2 linked regions of the Elephas maximus indicus genome follow. The protein of the gene in region 1 interacts with the protein of each later gene in a biochemical or structural test. Links are inferred from orthologs where the notes say so. Each region holds a gene or a part of one and is shown on either strand. Other genes may lie near its edges.

Evidence for each region. The genes of interacting proteins can lie anywhere in the genome.
Region 2: the proteins of ARL2 (region 1) and UNC119 form a complex in vitro, tested with the Homo sapiens proteins (2 studies listed by BioGRID and IntAct, with this or other methods). The link is inferred for Elephas maximus indicus from reciprocal best matches to the Homo sapiens genes ARL2 and UNC119.

What each region holds. Positions count from the first base shown.
Region 1 is NC_064825.1:128,183,861-128,191,885, forward strand, and holds the start of ARL2 (ADP-ribosylation factor-like protein 2), read left to right. Parts: upstream 1-4,967; 5' UTR 4,968-5,057; coding exon 5,058-5,122; intron 5,123-8,025. Other genes in the region: BATF2 (basic leucine zipper transcriptional factor ATF-like 2), read right to left, coding at 3,941-4,013, 4,726-4,745. UniProt on the Homo sapiens protein: Small GTP-binding protein which cycles between an inactive GDP-bound and an active GTP-bound form, and the rate of cycling is regulated by guanine nucleotide exchange factors (GEF) and GTPase-activating proteins (GAP).
Region 2 is NC_064837.1:23,334,082-23,341,901, reverse strand, and holds the start of UNC119 (protein unc-119 homolog A), read right to left. Parts: upstream 3,038-7,820; 5' UTR 2,950-3,037; coding exon 2,724-2,949; intron 1-2,723. Other genes in the region: PIGS (GPI transamidase component PIG-S), read right to left, coding at 4,691-4,966, 5,314-5,524, 6,334-6,434, 7,182-7,327. UniProt on the Homo sapiens protein: Involved in synaptic functions in photoreceptor cells, the signal transduction in immune cells as a Src family kinase activator, endosome recycling, the uptake of bacteria and endocytosis, protein trafficking in sensory neurons and as lipid-binding chaperone with specificity for a diverse subset of myristoylated proteins.

The sequences.
Region 1 (8,025 bases):
TGTCAGTTTGTCATACTGTGGAGGCTTGTGTGTGCTGTGATGCTGGAAGCTATGCCACTGGTATTCTAATACCAGTACGGTCACCCATGGTGGTCAGCTTTCAGCTGAGCTTCTAGACTAAGACAGGCTAGGAAGAACGATCTGGTGGTCTACTTCTGGAAAAGAAAAAATAGCCAGTGAAAACCTTATGAATAGCAGCGGAACATTGTCTGATATAGTGCTGGAAGACGAGCCCCTCAGGTTTGAAGGCACTCAAAAGATGACTGGGGAAGACCTGCTGCCTCAAAGTAGAGTCAACCTGAATGATGTAAATGGAGTCAAGCTTTCAGGACCTTCATTTGCTGATGTGGCACGACTCAAAATGAGAAGAAACGGCTGCAAACATCCATTAATAATTGGAACATGGGGTGTACGAACCATGAATCTAGGAAAATTGGAAATCATCAAAAATGAAATGGAATGTATAAAGATCGATATGCTAGGTATTAGTGAGCTGAAATGGACTGGTATTGGCCATTTGGAATTGGACAGTCATATGGTCTACTATGCTGGGAATGGTAAGTTGAATAGGAAAGAGGTTGCATTCATCGTCAAAAAGAACATTTCAAGATCTATCCTGAAGTACAACGCTGTCAATGATAGGATAATATCCATATGCCTAAAAGGAAGACAAGTTAACACTACTATTCAAATTTACACACCAACCACTAAGGCCAAAGACAAAGAAATTGAAGATTTTTTACCAACTTCTGCAGTCTCAGATTGATCAAACATGCAATCAGGATGTATTGATAATTACTGGTGGTTGTAATGTGCAAGTTGGAAACAAAGAAGCATCAGTAGTTGGAAAATACAGCCTTGGTGATAGAAATGATTCCAGAGATCACATGACAGAATTTTGCAAGACCGACAAATTTTTCATCGTAAATGCCTTTTTTCAACAACATAACCAGCGACTATACATGGGGATCTTGCCAGATGGAAAACACAGGAATCAAACTGACTACATCTGTGGAAAGAGACAATGGAAAAGCTCAATATTATCAGTCAGAACAAGGCCAGGGGCCAACAGTGGAACAGGCCATTAATTGCTCACATGCAAGTTCAAGTTGAAGTTGAAGAAAATTACAACAACTCCACAAGAGCCAAAGTAGAACCTCGAGAATACCCCACCTAAATTTAAAGATCATCTCAAGAACAGACCTGATGCATTGAACACTAATGACCAAAGACCACACAAGTTGTGTAATGACATCAAAGAGGCCATTAAAAGGACAGGAAAAGAAAAAACCAAAATGGATGTCAGAAGAAACTTGCTCTTGAATGCTGAATAGAAGAAATGATGAAAGAAAAGAGCTGACCAGAAGATTTCAAAGGGCAGCTCAAAAAGACAAAGTACTATAATGACACGTGCAAAGATGTGGAGCTAGAAAACCAAAAAGGAAGAACACGTTCAGCATTTCTTAAGCTAAAAGAACTGAAAAAAAAAATTCAAGCCTCGAGTTGCAATATCAAAAGATTCAACGAACAAAAATACTGATTGACGCAGGAAGCATCAAAAGAAGATGGAAGGAATACACAGAGTCACTGTACCGAAAAGAATTGGTCGATATTTGACCATTTCAGGAGAAAGCATATGATCAAGAACCGATGGTACTAAAGGAAGAAGCCCAAGCTGCGCTGGAAGCACTGGCGAAAAACAAGGCTCCAGGAACTGACGGAATACCGACTGAGATGTTTCAACAAAGGGGTGCAGTGTTAGAAAGTAGTCACTTGTTTATGCCAAGAAATTTGGAACACAGCTACCTGGCCAACTGTCTTAGTCATCTAGTGCTCCTATAACAGAAATACCACAAGTGGATGGCTTTAACAAACAGAAGTTTATCCTCTCACAGTTCAGCAGGCTAGAAGTCTGAATTCAGGGCGTCAGCTCCAGGGGAAGGCTTTCTCTCTCTGTAGGCTCTGGAGGAAGGTCCTTATCATCAGTCTTCCCTTGGTCTGGGAGCATCTCAGCACAGGAACCTCAGATCCAAAGGACGCACTCTGCTTTCTTGGTGGTATGAAGTTCCCATGTCTCTCTGCTTACTTCTCTCTTCTATAACTCAAAAGAGATTGGCTTAAGACACTGTCTAATCTTGTAGGTCTCATCAATATAACTGCTGCTAATCCGTCTTATTACATCAGAGTGATAGGATTTACAACACATACGGAAATCACATCAGATGATAAAACGGTAAACAATCATACAATTATACAAGGGAATCACGGTCTAGCCAAGTTGACAGATACTTTTGGGGGGCACAATTCAACTCACGACACCAACCAACTGGAGGAGAGCCATATTTATGCCTATTCCAAAAAAACGTAATTCAACAGAACGCAGAAATTATCCAACAATATCATTAATATCACATACAGGTAAAATATTGCTGAAGATCATTCAAAAGCGGTTGCAGCAGTATATTGACAGAGAACTGCGAGAAATTCAAGCCAGATTCAGAAGACGACATGGAAATAGGGATATCATTGCTGATGTCATATAGAACCTGGAGGAAAGTAGAGAACACCAGAAAGATGTTTACCTGTGTTTTACTGACTATGCAAAAGCATTCAACTGTGTGGATCATAACAAATTATGGATAACATTATGAAGAATGGGAATTCCAGAACACTTAATCGTGCTCATGAGGAACCTGTACAAAGACCAAGAGGCAGTTGTTGGAATAGAACAAAGAGATATTATGTGGTTTAAAGTCAGGAAAGGTATAGGTTAGGGTTGTATCCTTTCACCATACTTATTCAATCTGTATGCTGAGCAAATAACCCCAGAAGCTGGACTATATGAAGAAGAATACGGCATCAGGATTGGAGGAAGGCTCATTAACAACCTGCGTTATGCAGATGACACAACCTTGATTGCTGAAAGTGAAGAGGATTTGAAGCACTTACTGATGAATATCAAAGACCACACCCTTCAGTATGGATTGTCCCTCAACATAAAGAAAACAAAAATCCTCACAACTGGATCAATAAGTAACATCATAATAAATGGAGAAAAGATTAAGTTGTCAAGGATTTCATTTTACTTGGATCCACAATCAACACCCACGGACGCAGCAGTGAAGAAATCAAAGGACGCATTGCATCGGGCAAATCTACTGCGAAAGACCTCCTTAAAGTATTTAAAACCGAAGATCCTCCCTTGAAGACTAAGCCATAGTGTTTTCGATCGCCTCATATGCATGTGAAAGCTGGACAATGAACAAGGAAGACTGAAGAATTGATGCCTTTGAGTTATGGCTTGGTGAAAATATTGACTATACTACGGACTGCCAAAAGAAGAAACAAATCTGTCTTGGAAGAAGTACAGCCAGAATGCTCCTTAGAAGCAAGGACAGGGAGACTTCGTCTCACATACTTTAGACATATTATCGGGGGGATCAGTCCTTGGAGGAGGCCATCATGTTTGGTAAAGTAGAGGGTCAGCGAAAAAGAGAAAGACCCTCAACAAAATGGACTGACACAGTGACTGCAACAATGGCCTCAAGCATGACAAAAATTCTGAGGATGGTGCAGGACCAGGCAGTGTATCCTTCTGTTATGCATAGGGTCTCTATGACTTGGAACCGACTCAAGGGCACCTAACAAGAACTCTGCTAGAAGTCCCTGGATGGTACAAATGATTAAAATGTTCAGCACCTAATGGAAAGGTTGAAAGTTCCAAGTCCACCCAGAAGTGCCTCAGAAAAAAGGCCTGGCACTCTATTGCAAAAAGCCAGTCATTGAACACCCTATACAGCACAGTTCTACTCTGACACACAAGGGGTCACCAGGAATCAGCATTAACTCCCCATCAACTGTTTGGTTCCTTTGTGCTGTCTACTCACACTTACCCTATAGTGAACTTGTGGAAGGGCTCAAAATAACACACGAGACTCACCCTTCTGAGCTTACAATCTGCTTGCTTCCTGGCCTCAGTTTCCTCAGTTTTTCTGGATCTCTTGGGTACTAAACTAAGGGAAAGAACCAAACTGTTGGACAAAGTCACTCATTCAACAGCAACTATTTATTGAGCATCTACTATTTGCCAGTCACTGTGGGCCTCAAGAAAACCCTGGTTGTGTAGTGGTTAATGTTTAAGTGCTACCGCTGCTAACTAAAAAAGGTCAGCAGTTCCAAGAATCCACGAGGCACTCCTTGGAAACCCTATGGGGCAGTTCTACCGCCCTATAAGGTCGTTATGAGTCAGAATCGACTGGACAGCAGCGAGTTTTTGGTGGGCCTCATTTTTGTCATCAGCAAACGTGAGATTGTTTTTCTTCAAAGGGAAACCATGGGCTCAGGCGGGACAATTCTTGTGAGGGTCTGTCCCCAGCATTGCAGGACACTACCTACTATCCCTGCTTCCCACCGTCTAAACGTGGGGGAATCTTCCCTCCGTCGCTGAATCAACCCAAAACACGCAACCCCACCCCACCCCGCACATTTCCAACGGTCCCTAGGGACCAATACCGGCATTCAGGAGCCTGGCAAGGGGGAGGCCCAATTCCTGTTCCGTCATTGGCAAATTTAGGATGACACCAAGGCCCCAAAAGAGCGGGATCTGGACCACGTTTCCGGGTAACAGGCCCTTACACAGCCTCCAGGACAGCCCCAGGTCATGAGGCTCTCGCTTCTGACTCCTGGGTCCCCGGCTGGCCACACCTTTTTGCAGGTACTCCCTACCTGGCCAAGATCCAACCCATGAACTTCAGGTTTCCGTTCCCGGCCGAGTTTTTGGGTCCTGGGAGGACGGAATAGACTCGCCCTCGCCCCCAACTGTCGGCCCTCGGGACGCGAAGGGTTAAGGCAGGTGGCCGCGCAGAAGCCGCGCCGCCGCTAGAGGGACCCCAGCAGAGACACAGCGCGGCCGCTCTGAGGTCACGTGGGGCAAGGGCGGGCCCAAAAAGGGCTGGCCAATGGGCTGTGCTGTCGCTGGGCGTGATAGCCAATAGGAGCAAGGAGCGGGGATCCCAGGACTAGGAAGAAACGGCGGCCGGGAGGGGGCTGCTGGGATCATGGGGCTTCTGACCATTCTGAAGAAAATGAAGGAGAAAGAGCGGGAGCTGCGACTGCTCATGCTGTATCCTCCCGGACGGCGGAGCCGCTAGGGTAGTGGGGTCCCAGCCGGGGGGCAGTGACAGACGCCCCCTACCGGGCGCGGGGTGCGCGGCCGGCCAGCTCGTACCAACTGCCCATTGTGCGTCACGCACGTGGGCCCTACCAATCGCTCGGGCTGGGGCCGAGAGGAGGCCGTACCATCGGCTCGGGGAGGGGGGACTCCAGTCCAGAGGCCAAAGGTGTGGGCCTAAAGGCGCAGCGGAGGGACCAGGCGTCCCAAGCGTAGCGGGGCGATAGGGCCCGGAGGTGACTCAGACGTCACCGTCCGGAGGCCTGGCACGAGCGTGGGACCGCTGTCCTCCCGGCTCTGACCTCTTCCCCCCTGTCCGAGGGTGCCGGCCCCGGCCCCGCCCCCAAACTCGGAATCCCGGGGACGCGGCCCCGCCCTCTGCTCCCGGGGGGCGAGGGTTGGTTCCGCTGGGCGGTTTGCTTGCGGGCTAGACTGTGTGTGACACCCCGCGGCCCCTCGGTGTCCCCGAAGCTGAGGACTTGTTAGCCCCAGGGTCCCTGCATTCATTCACCCTACTCTGTGTGGCGCAGTGGTAAAGAGTTCCGTCGTTAACCAAAAAGGTTGGCAGTTCGAATCCACCAGCCGCTCCCTGGAAACCCTATGGGGCACTTCGCGCCTTTCCTATAGGGTTACTATGAGTCGGAATCCACTGGACAGCAGTGGGAGTTTTACACTGTGCCGGGCCACGTGGGGCATCTGAGACCCACTAGTTGGGCCAGCAGAGAAGTCGCTTATGCGCGCAAATAATTTAAAAATATGCCCGCCGTGTTCATTTTAAAGATCCCGGAGAAAGGCGCAGAGAATTCACTCATTCAAGAAATACGTATTTATGGAGCGCCTCCTGTGTGCCATGTTTGCTAGGTAAAACAGCAAAACAAAGTTCTGTCCTCTTGAATGTTATAGAATGCCTGAGGGGAGAAAGATGATAAAACAAATAAAATATTTTTTGTGGGGAGAGAAGAATGCCGTTAAAATAGGGTGAGCCAAGAAAGGCTCCTGGAGATGACGGGTGAGTAAAGTGAGGGGTGAACTGTGTAATTACCTGGAGAAGACTAGTCAAGGCAAAGACAAGGGCAAGTGCAAAGGGCCCAAAAGGAACTCAGCTGGTGCGTTCAAGGGCAGTGTGACTGGAGAGAATGAGCAGGGAAGAGAGCACTAGAAGATTAGGTCAGAGGTGTCTGGGGAAGACAGTCCAGGCAGGGTCTTGTACAGAGGAGAAGAGTGGTCTGACTTTGGCTTCTGTGTTGCAAATAGAGGACATGGGTTAAGGGCAGAAGGGGGAGACCAGTTAGGGGTCAATCACGATAATGAGAACGAGATAGGATGGTGGCTTGGATCAGAGTGGAATCATCATAGTGATGAAGTAGGAAGGTAATGAGAGAGCAGGCAGGAATTGCTCCTGGATTGGCCAACGGTGTGAGAAAGCAAAGTCAAGCCTGACTCTTGGCTTTCTGGCCTGAGCAATTAGAAGAATGAGGAGCCTAGCTGACAGAGAAGACCAGGGCAGAGCAGGTCGGGACAGGGATGGAAGCTGAGAGCTCACTTGGCCATGTGAGATGCCTCTGAGACATCCCAGGAATGTCAGGGAGGCAGCTGGGTTTTGGGACAGGTGACCAGGGGAGCAGCTGGGCGAGAGGCATCAATTTGGGAGTCAACAGCATAAAGATGGTATTTGCAGTCAGGATCCTGGATGAGCTCACCTAGAGGGTGAGTGTGACAGAGAAGAGAGTGAAGTGTACTCCGTCCAATCAAGAGATCAGGGTGATGAGGAGGAGCAGCCAGGAGATATGAGGAGGCCCCAGCGAGGACATGTCTCAGAGCAAGGGCAGCATGGGTCAGGGAGTGAGAGACAGGCAGGTCTGTCAGGTGCTGCTGGTAGAGCTGGAAGATGGGAACCAAGCACCGACCAGCCATTGGAGAGCACAGTGGAGGTCTCTGGGGACTGACCATGGCAAGAGCAATTTTAGGGAGGCAGAGGGAGCAGAAGCCTGATGGAAGTGGGCTCTAGAAAGAGCAAGAGGGCAGATTGGGGAGAGTGATGGAGGCAGCGTTTCGAGGAGCTTTGCTGTAAAGGGAAGGAAATAAACAGCTAGCTGGAGAAAGGAGAGGGAACAAGAGAAGGTTTTGTTTGCTTTTTCTAAGCGGGGAGTAACAACAGTGAGGTTGTCAGCTGATGGGAATGATCCCGTGTGGAAGGAATCATGGATGATGCAGGGAGAGGGGAGAAATATCAGCTGCCAGTTATCAGGGGCCGTGGCTGGGTTTCAGGGCAGGTCCTCTCATCACCCCATTTCATGGCTTGAGTCACTTGCCCCAGGTAAGGTGAGCAATAAGAGGCTGAGCCCAGGGCCTGTGTCCCTCCACACACACACACACGCACACACACACACACACCACACACACACCACACAGAGCTACAAGTCCCCGTAAGTGTTGGAAGGAAAGAGGAAGGTTGTCTCTCCCACTTGGGGAACTCACCATTCCTTTGCACACTCATTCAGCAGTAAAGGGTTTGGTACATTCCAGAAACAACGAAGAAAGGGTAGGTGCCCCCAGTTATTTGCTCCTGCTGTTCCCTCTGCCTGGAATGCCCTTCCCCAGTCTTTCAGAAAACTGACTCCTTGTAGTTCGGGCCTCACCTCAAGACACCTTCTCACAGAAGGTGACCTTCTCAGAGCCTCATCATTGGGTTTCTGAAGCTCACCAGCATCTTAAGTTTCTCACTGGTTTGCACTTTTTCAGCTGTCTCCTTGCTCAATTGTGAGCTGCCCAAGGGTGGGGACTTTGTCCTCTTATCTGGGGTGCCCCCAGCATCCAAAAGGGGGCCTGGCATGTAGTAGATATTCAGTAAACAT
Region 2 (7,820 bases), on another chromosome or scaffold:
CGTAGAGAAGAGTACTCCCCCACCCCATAGCTAGGCCAGGAAGTGGGCGTGGCAGGTGTGGTGAGGAGTGTGGATGAGGGTAAGGGGAGTTCTCAGGTCCAGAAAGGGAACCAAGAGCTGTGGTTGGGCCCTGCTGAAGAATTCTGGGAATAGGCCAGTCCTGCCCTGACCATCACTGCTCTTGCAGCAGCAACTGGAAGCGCTTGGAGAGGCCCTGGCAACAAATAGGGAGAGGCAGAGAGGTGCAGTGGGGGGCGCAGTGAGTTCAGCCCGCACAGCACCACATCCTCCCCTAGAGGCCCGGAAATCACCCCCCAGGCCCCTGGGCCACCTCCTATTCCTCTGGGGCAGGAAGAGGAAGTGAATATAAAGTCATTCTCTCTTTCCCAGCCTGCCTCTTCCCCAAGCCTGGGGTAGCTCCCTCCAGGAAGCCCTCCTGGCAGCCATCTGTCACCTTGGGGCCCAGCAGGGACTACACAAGGCTTGAGGAGGGGCCTGAGCCCTGGCCTGTCCACCACAGCCCAGGAGGAGAAAGGAAGGGAATAGCAGTGGGCAGTCCCTATCCCCAGCCTGTGCACACCTTGTCATCACAGAAAGCACTAGCCCAAAGATGTAGAAAGAAGGCACCGGGCAGAGGGAGAGGAGGTAGCAAAGCTGAGAACTGGATCCTAGTCACCCAGCTCCCAGCCCCTGGTAAGGCCCTCTCTTCTTCCCCACTCTCCAGCTTCTGGGGCCTCTCCTCTCACTTGTAACAACTTCTTGCAGTCTGACTCAGTCTCTCCGACTGCAAACTCAACCTATCAACCCCTTCATCCTTACAGGAAGTGAGGAGCGGGGGATGCCCATAGCTGAGAACAGCGCAGCCACTCCCTCCCTTCTGCCAGGGAAGGATGAGGCCTGGCACTCAGGGTCAGGCTAGAACAAGAGGGAAGCGGGGCTCAGAGCACAACTCCTCTCTTCGCTTCAGCCACAAATAGTTTCCTAAGCTGGATTCAGGGCCCGATAATCCAGGAACAGCAAGCCTCAGACCTGTGTGATTAGGGTCAGAAGGGACCAGGCAGGGAGTGCCAGGGCAGACAGCCCTGGAACCCTGTTTTCAATTCTGCAGAGGGGAGAGCTCCCATGAATCCCTTCCCCTACTTACAGATGCCCTGTCTCTATGGGCTATGAATTTCCTTCACAAGAGGAGACGCACGGTACATGGGACGTGGATTGGGAGCTCCCTGTAGTTACAAAGAACTCAGGCAGGCCAAACAGGTCAGCATGAGCTCCTGACATTCTGTGAAGAAGTTCTGCCCCAGAAATAAGCTGAACCCTAAATGCTGCTGTTGCCAACTACAGCCCAATTGGCATCAACATCAACCTGGTTCAGACCCCCTCCCTCCACCAGTGCCCGCTTGAGCAAGGGAGCTCAGCCCTCCAGGGGCCCAGCCAAGAATGGCTGCTGCCTGGCTCAGAGAGGAGGGAAGAGCTGGACCCCCAGAGACCTAGCTGCACAGGCCCAGGCCCGTCATCATGGTCCCCTCCACAGCTCTGTCTGGGAGCCTTAGGCTCTGCTGTTTCTGCAGCTCCAGGGCTCAGGTCCCCATGCCTGTTCCCCACCCCCATAGAAAGAGCCCCAACCGTTGCTGTCGCAGAGGGAGCCAGAGCAGGCAGCTGATGAATGAAGCCAAGGTGGAGAGCTACTGCCTCCCCAAATGCCTCTCGTTCTTCCAGACTCTGCCACGTCCTCCTTCATGAAGTCCCCTAGCCCTTGTCCCTTGCCCATGGTGACCTCCTGAATGCCTGAATGCCCAGTTTGCCTCCAGCCATGAACAGCCTGTGTGGTACCCTCAGTACTGTTGACAAAAGAGCCCTATTTACAAAGCAGTGTGTCAGGCACTGTGTAAAGTCAGAAGGTTAATTTTATCTTCGCAATAACCCTATGAGGTAGATGTTATTAAACCCATCTTACAGATGAAGAAATATGCTCAGAGAGGTGAGGTTACTTGTCCAAGGTCACACAGCCAACTATGTGACAAAGCTGGGACTCAAATCCAGCCAGTTTGGCTCAGAAACTCTTAACCACAGTGGAGAATAGGTCTCCATTGATTGGAGTCCTGCAGCACTGAAGGAGTACAGATCCTGGCCCAGGCTCGCCAGCATTAACCCACTCCTGTCAGGACCCAGAGCCAACCCATTGAGGCTTCCCATTCAGTTTCTTTTCCGGGGTGGGGGATGGCCCCAGTCTTCCTGGGGGGGGTCCAGGGTGACAGCATTAATGGTCAGGAAGACCTCAGTAGTCTTGAGTCCACCTAAGCAGCTCAGTCTCCACCTAGCCTCCAGGGGCAGGGGCTGAGGACAGGCTACACTCACTCCACTCCTCATCAGTGCAGAGCCAGGCCTCAAGGGGCTTTGAGGACTCCGCGGGGAAGGGGCCATAGTTGCAGCTGCTGCCCGACCTTCACCATGGGAAAGGGAATGAACCCGTCCCCCAAAATAATATACCTCAAAAGGGAGAGGAGGGGTACCCAGGGAGATCAAAGAAAGGGGGGCCATGGAGACCTCAGGCTTGGACGCAGGAGGGAGGGAAGCAAACGTAGAAGAGGGGGCCAAGAAGGGGGAGGGAATGCGGGGAGAGAGCCGGGAAGGGGGGCGGGGGCCGGGCCCCGCGCAACGAGAGGGTCCCCCTTCTCGCTCTTGCTCCCTGCAGCCGGCGGGCAGCGCTCCTCGCCGGTGCTCACCGCCCGTGATCCGCTGTAGTCCCAGCACGTCCTCCGGCCCGATCGGCTGCTTCCTCCGCAGTGGCCCCGGCCTGGGCCCCGGGTCTGCCTCCGGCTCCGACTCGGACCCGGATTCGGATTCCGCTTGCGACTTCGGCTCAGGTTTGGGCTCCACGCTCGGGCCTGAGGCCCCTAGAGCGGGCTCCGCCCCCGTCCCGGCCCCGTCGCCGCCCTTCTTCACCTTCATGGCCTCGCCTGCTGCCGCCGCCGCCGCCGCCGCTGCCTGAGCCAGCTGGAGCCGGGAGAAGGGTGAGCGGCCGCAGCCCCGCCCCGGCCGGGGCCCCAGGTACCGCTCCGCCCCGGCCCCCCGGCCCTTCCTCTGGGCTGGGTCCGGCACTGACTCCGCCCACGCGCAGGGCCCACCGGGGTCGGGAGTCTGGGGACCGCCCACCAGGGCTCTCATCCCCGCTAGGGTGAGGGCTGGCCCTGGGCTTCATTCATTTTCTGGAAGGTAATTCAGGGAGGTACTGCCTACCTCTCCTTCCACGCTGCGCTCCAGTCCCTGTGCCCTTCTCACTGCCCTTACAGTCCTCAAGCGAACTCCAGCCTTGGAGTCTTTGCCCAGGGTGTTCTCCCCCTATATGACCTCTTCTTGTCCTTTTGGTCTCACCTTAAATGTCAAAGGCCATACCTCACATCCAAACTAAAGTACACCCCCCTCGCCCCCAATCATTAACCAATTAGTTCATTTTTTTCTAATACATAACTGAAACTATTTTTATTTGCTCAGTCTCTTCCCCCTCAAAGACCAGCTAAGCCAAAGCGGACTGTTTTGTTCCCTATTATGGCCCCAGCACCTAGCAGAAGCCCACTGAGGCCTGTGCTCAATAACTTTTCCTTTGTTGAATGAGCTAGTACCTGAGGGCTTTCACTGGTATAAGCTATTCTCTCAGTTCCCTGCTAAAAAGCAGACGTAGCTGCTAACAGCCTTGTTGGGCAACCCAGGACACCCAGACGGACAACGGCCCAGGTGTCGGGCCACCAGAGCCCTACAAGACAGAGGGGCAGGAAGGGCACATGGCCAGATAGAGGCAAGGTGGACCTGTGAGCCCAGGAAGATAGATGCCAGAAAACGATTACTTACACGTAAATGAAGAATTAAAAGTATAGCCATACTTCATATCATTTCAATTCATATTCAACCAATGTTTATTGAGAGCCTAGTAGATGCCAGACACTTTCACATGATTTATCACATCTAATCTGCACAACAACCTTGTTAAGGGAGGTGTCATTAGTGCCATTTTAACAAATGAGGGAGCTCACTAGATGATAAATGCAGAAGCAAGGAATTCAGGCCTTTTTGATTTCAACTCTGGAACTTTCTCCACTGTACCATACCGCCCAAGCCTCTGCCACACACAGCACCAAGTCCTGAGCTGCTGCCTTCTGGACTCCTGTCTGTCTGGCTGTACCCAACAGGCGCAGCAAGCCAGGAAGGAGAGGCGTAAGGGAGGAGCCCCCGAGTGACCTGTGCCTGGGCCCCTTCCAGCAAAGCAGTGCTGGGGCTCTCCCTGAGGGGTTAGAGAAAACTGTGCAGGGTGGAAGGATCCAACCAGGGCTTTCCCTCATGCTGCCTTCTCGGTAACAAGAGGAGTGTGCTATGTTGAGAAACAGGGTAGAAGTACAAGCTGTCCTTGCCCCAGCTGGAGGTAGTCAGGTATCTTCAAGTTCAGGTCAGATAAGGAGACCGAGGTGATGCTACTATGACACTCCGGAGAGTATGAGGAGTGGGGAGGCAGGGAGACCTGAGCCCGGGGAATGGAAAGGGAAGATGAATCCATCTTGGAGTATTGCACTTCGGTTGCTGGAAAGGCAACAGAGGCTGGAAACAGGTCATTCGCAGCAGGCCCGATTTATGTGCCTCTCAATCTAACACCTCCCATCCTGGCCTGAAAAGAAGGGCTCCTACTGAGATTCTGCCCTGCTCAGTCTATCTTCTCAGGCTTCTTCCAGGACTTGCGGGTCTCCAGAAAGATCTTGAACAGGGATAGGAGGATGGGCACGGCCATAGGCAGGAAGAGTGGGATGTAGATGGCAAACTTCTGGTCATCAGGAAAATACAGGAGGTGGAGGAGTGAGGGGTCAAAAAAGGCACGTTCTGAGGACGTCACAGCTTCCTGGCTGGCAAGGAAGGCAGAGGCCAGGTGTCCAGTGGCCAACTCCTCTGCTGCCTTCTGGACTGCAGCTACTGCCCTGTAAACCTAGGAAGGAGAGAGAGGGTTAAAATAAGTCCTAGGCATGGTGGGGAAGGGGCTGGCCTTTAACCTGCCTTTGGCCTACCAGGGAGTTTGCCTGGAGTTCACCCAGGATAAATGGAGGTCAGTATAAAAGGGCTATGTGTGTATTTCTTAGGGTCTGCTTGAAACCTCTCATTCCCATTTGGACTCCTGAGGCTGGCACTGCCCTCTAGAGGAAGCCTGGGGCACTCAAGGATGGCATGCTCACACACACCCTGGACCTCAGATGGCTCTCTCCGGTTGCACCATATACTTTGGCCCTCACTGACCTCTCCAGTTCTAGGCCACAGAATCCGTCCCTGCCCACGTACCTCAGATGCCACATCATCCTTGATGACAATGTTGCTGATCTTGCCCAGAAGCTGGGCCAGGGACGTGAGGGTGGTCATAGCCGTGGCCAGGTTCTCCACTGACCGAGCCCAGAGCAGCCGGTCCAGCTCCCAGCTCATTAGCCCTTCACTCTTAGGCCCCGAAAACAGGCATTTGGGAGGCAGGTGGGGCTGAGCAATCCCAAAGAGCAGTCTGTAGGAACAGCCAAGTAAGATCAAGGTGGCTGAGACCAGAAGGTGGGAGAAGATGGCTAAGATTCCTGGATTATCTGCCCTAAGTCAATGACTTCAATCTTACCCTGAACCATAGGGGTTGTGGGGAAGTGTCTCAGAGTCTTGAAGAGTGAGCAACACCACCAAGCAATCCAGAGCCCCAAACCCTGCTTTCCCCAGAGTGTTTCCACTTTCACCTGTTTCTATATTGGCCATCCAAGACCTTGTTTGAAGAAAGCTTCCAGGGCTAAAAAACTTCTGATAACACCAACTGAGTTTAACCCCCTCACCCTTCCTTACCCTCTCTTTGGACAAATGGGGCCACTGGGACTTAAGAGTTAAGGGATGATCCAGGACCATCTTTAACAAAAAGGTATGTGTGCTATGCCTCTCGTCCTATACCCATGCCAGACATTGCTAATCAATCAGAAGAATACTCTTTTTCTGATGCGGCCAGACACACAGGACTTCAGGCAGCCACTCTCATAATCAATCAATTAGTACAATGAATTAATAGCTGTTTTCTTAAGCACAACTAATCATGCCTCATGGACCTGACATTCATGTCTACCTTTCTTAAATTGGGTTTTGCAAGCAACCAGACCTACTTAGAAAAAGGATGAAGCAATTCTTGGAAAGCTTTCTTGGCTTCCTGGTGGCTCTAGGCATAGCCCAGGTATCCCTGGCAAGGGAGATTTCATTCTGATTGCAATCCCCCTCTAGAGCCAAGGAGACTGTGGTCAGTCTCTCAGTGGCCATGCCCTCCGAATGGAACACCCAGGGCCTCACCGCAGCTGAGCCAGGAACACCTCCATCACTTGTACCATGTCCACCTCGACTTTCACCGGCAGCCCCGAGGCATTGTAGGCTGTGGGGTCAACGTTGTATACCTGAAAGGGGGAAGGAGATCACCATAACACTACATCAGGACTATGCACAGCTCTTCCCTAGGCACTCTGGAGGTCATGAGAGAAAATGAAAACACAGTCTCTGTTCTTTGGAAGCTATAAAACTGATGGCATAGCTAATACTTTTTGAGTAAGTGCTTGGTTGCTAAGCAAAAATGGCATCCCACTGGCAGCTTCGAGGGAGAAAAACCTGGCAATCTGCTCCCATAAAGATTTATAGCCTAGGAAACCTCATGGGACAGTTCTACTCTGTTCTATAGGGTCGCTATGAGTCAGAATCAACTTGACAGCATACAACAACTACTATTAGGAATTTACATAAAGTACCTCAATTATTCCCTCAAACGTCCTGTCAAATACATTTTTTAAATCTTATTTTATAGTTCTAAGCTATGAGAAACTCCCAGGCTAAAAGGGAGGCAAAGCTCCTAACCTTGCAAGACTCCCACAAATAGGGCCAGGACCTAAGATGTTCACAGAATAGTCCTAAATAAGTGCAAACTGCCAAGTGCAAAAGGGTCATATTGGCCATCAATCAGCACTGGCAAACACAAGAGAGTGGTGCTGGCAGAGGGAGGACAGGAGCACACAGCACCCTTGCCTCCTTGGTGCCTGCCTCTCCCGCAGACTAGGCCACAGAGGACACCTGAGGCAACAGAAAGAACGGTCTCAGGGATCATCTGTCTATCCCTGAAGCTTGGGCACTGGGGTCTGCAGTGTGATTGTTACCATAATGCCTCCCCAGCGGGGACTGTGGAAGGCGTTGGTGGCGACTGGAGTCCCATCCTTGTCCTGAATGTAGAGCGGGGAGTGGGCAAGCTCAGGCACGTACAGTAGAAAGTTGAGCACAGGGTAGAGGGAAGCAGCGCTGGACCCTGTGGGACAGAGAGAAGAGCAGATCGAACACCAAACACACCAGACCAAGATCTTAGCTCCAAGCCAGCCTCTAACTCACTGGTCACCCACCCTGGGCCTCAGTTTCCCCAACTAATACTCTCTGGGATATCCTCCAGTCTTGGGTTTCTGTGGTGTAGGACCTCTCAGTATTTTCCCAAGATGTGCCAGATGGATGGAGTGTGGTCCTAAGTCCCAAAATGCCCCTGGAATCTTCTTTAAGAGACCCCCTTTGCTCTCTTGGCCACTGCCACACTGTACCCACATTATTATACCTAGTTTTAAGCACAGGTATGAATCTGATCTCAAGTCAGTTCTCTGCTTAATTTTTTTTAAAGTCTACCCATTAATATCAAACTCCATAATGTGGTCCTTATTGAACAGTCTGGTATTTGCTGCTTGCCTTGCCAGCATCATCATTTCAGCCACGCTAAACTACTCTGTGCTCACTGAATGCCTATGCTGTCTGACTCG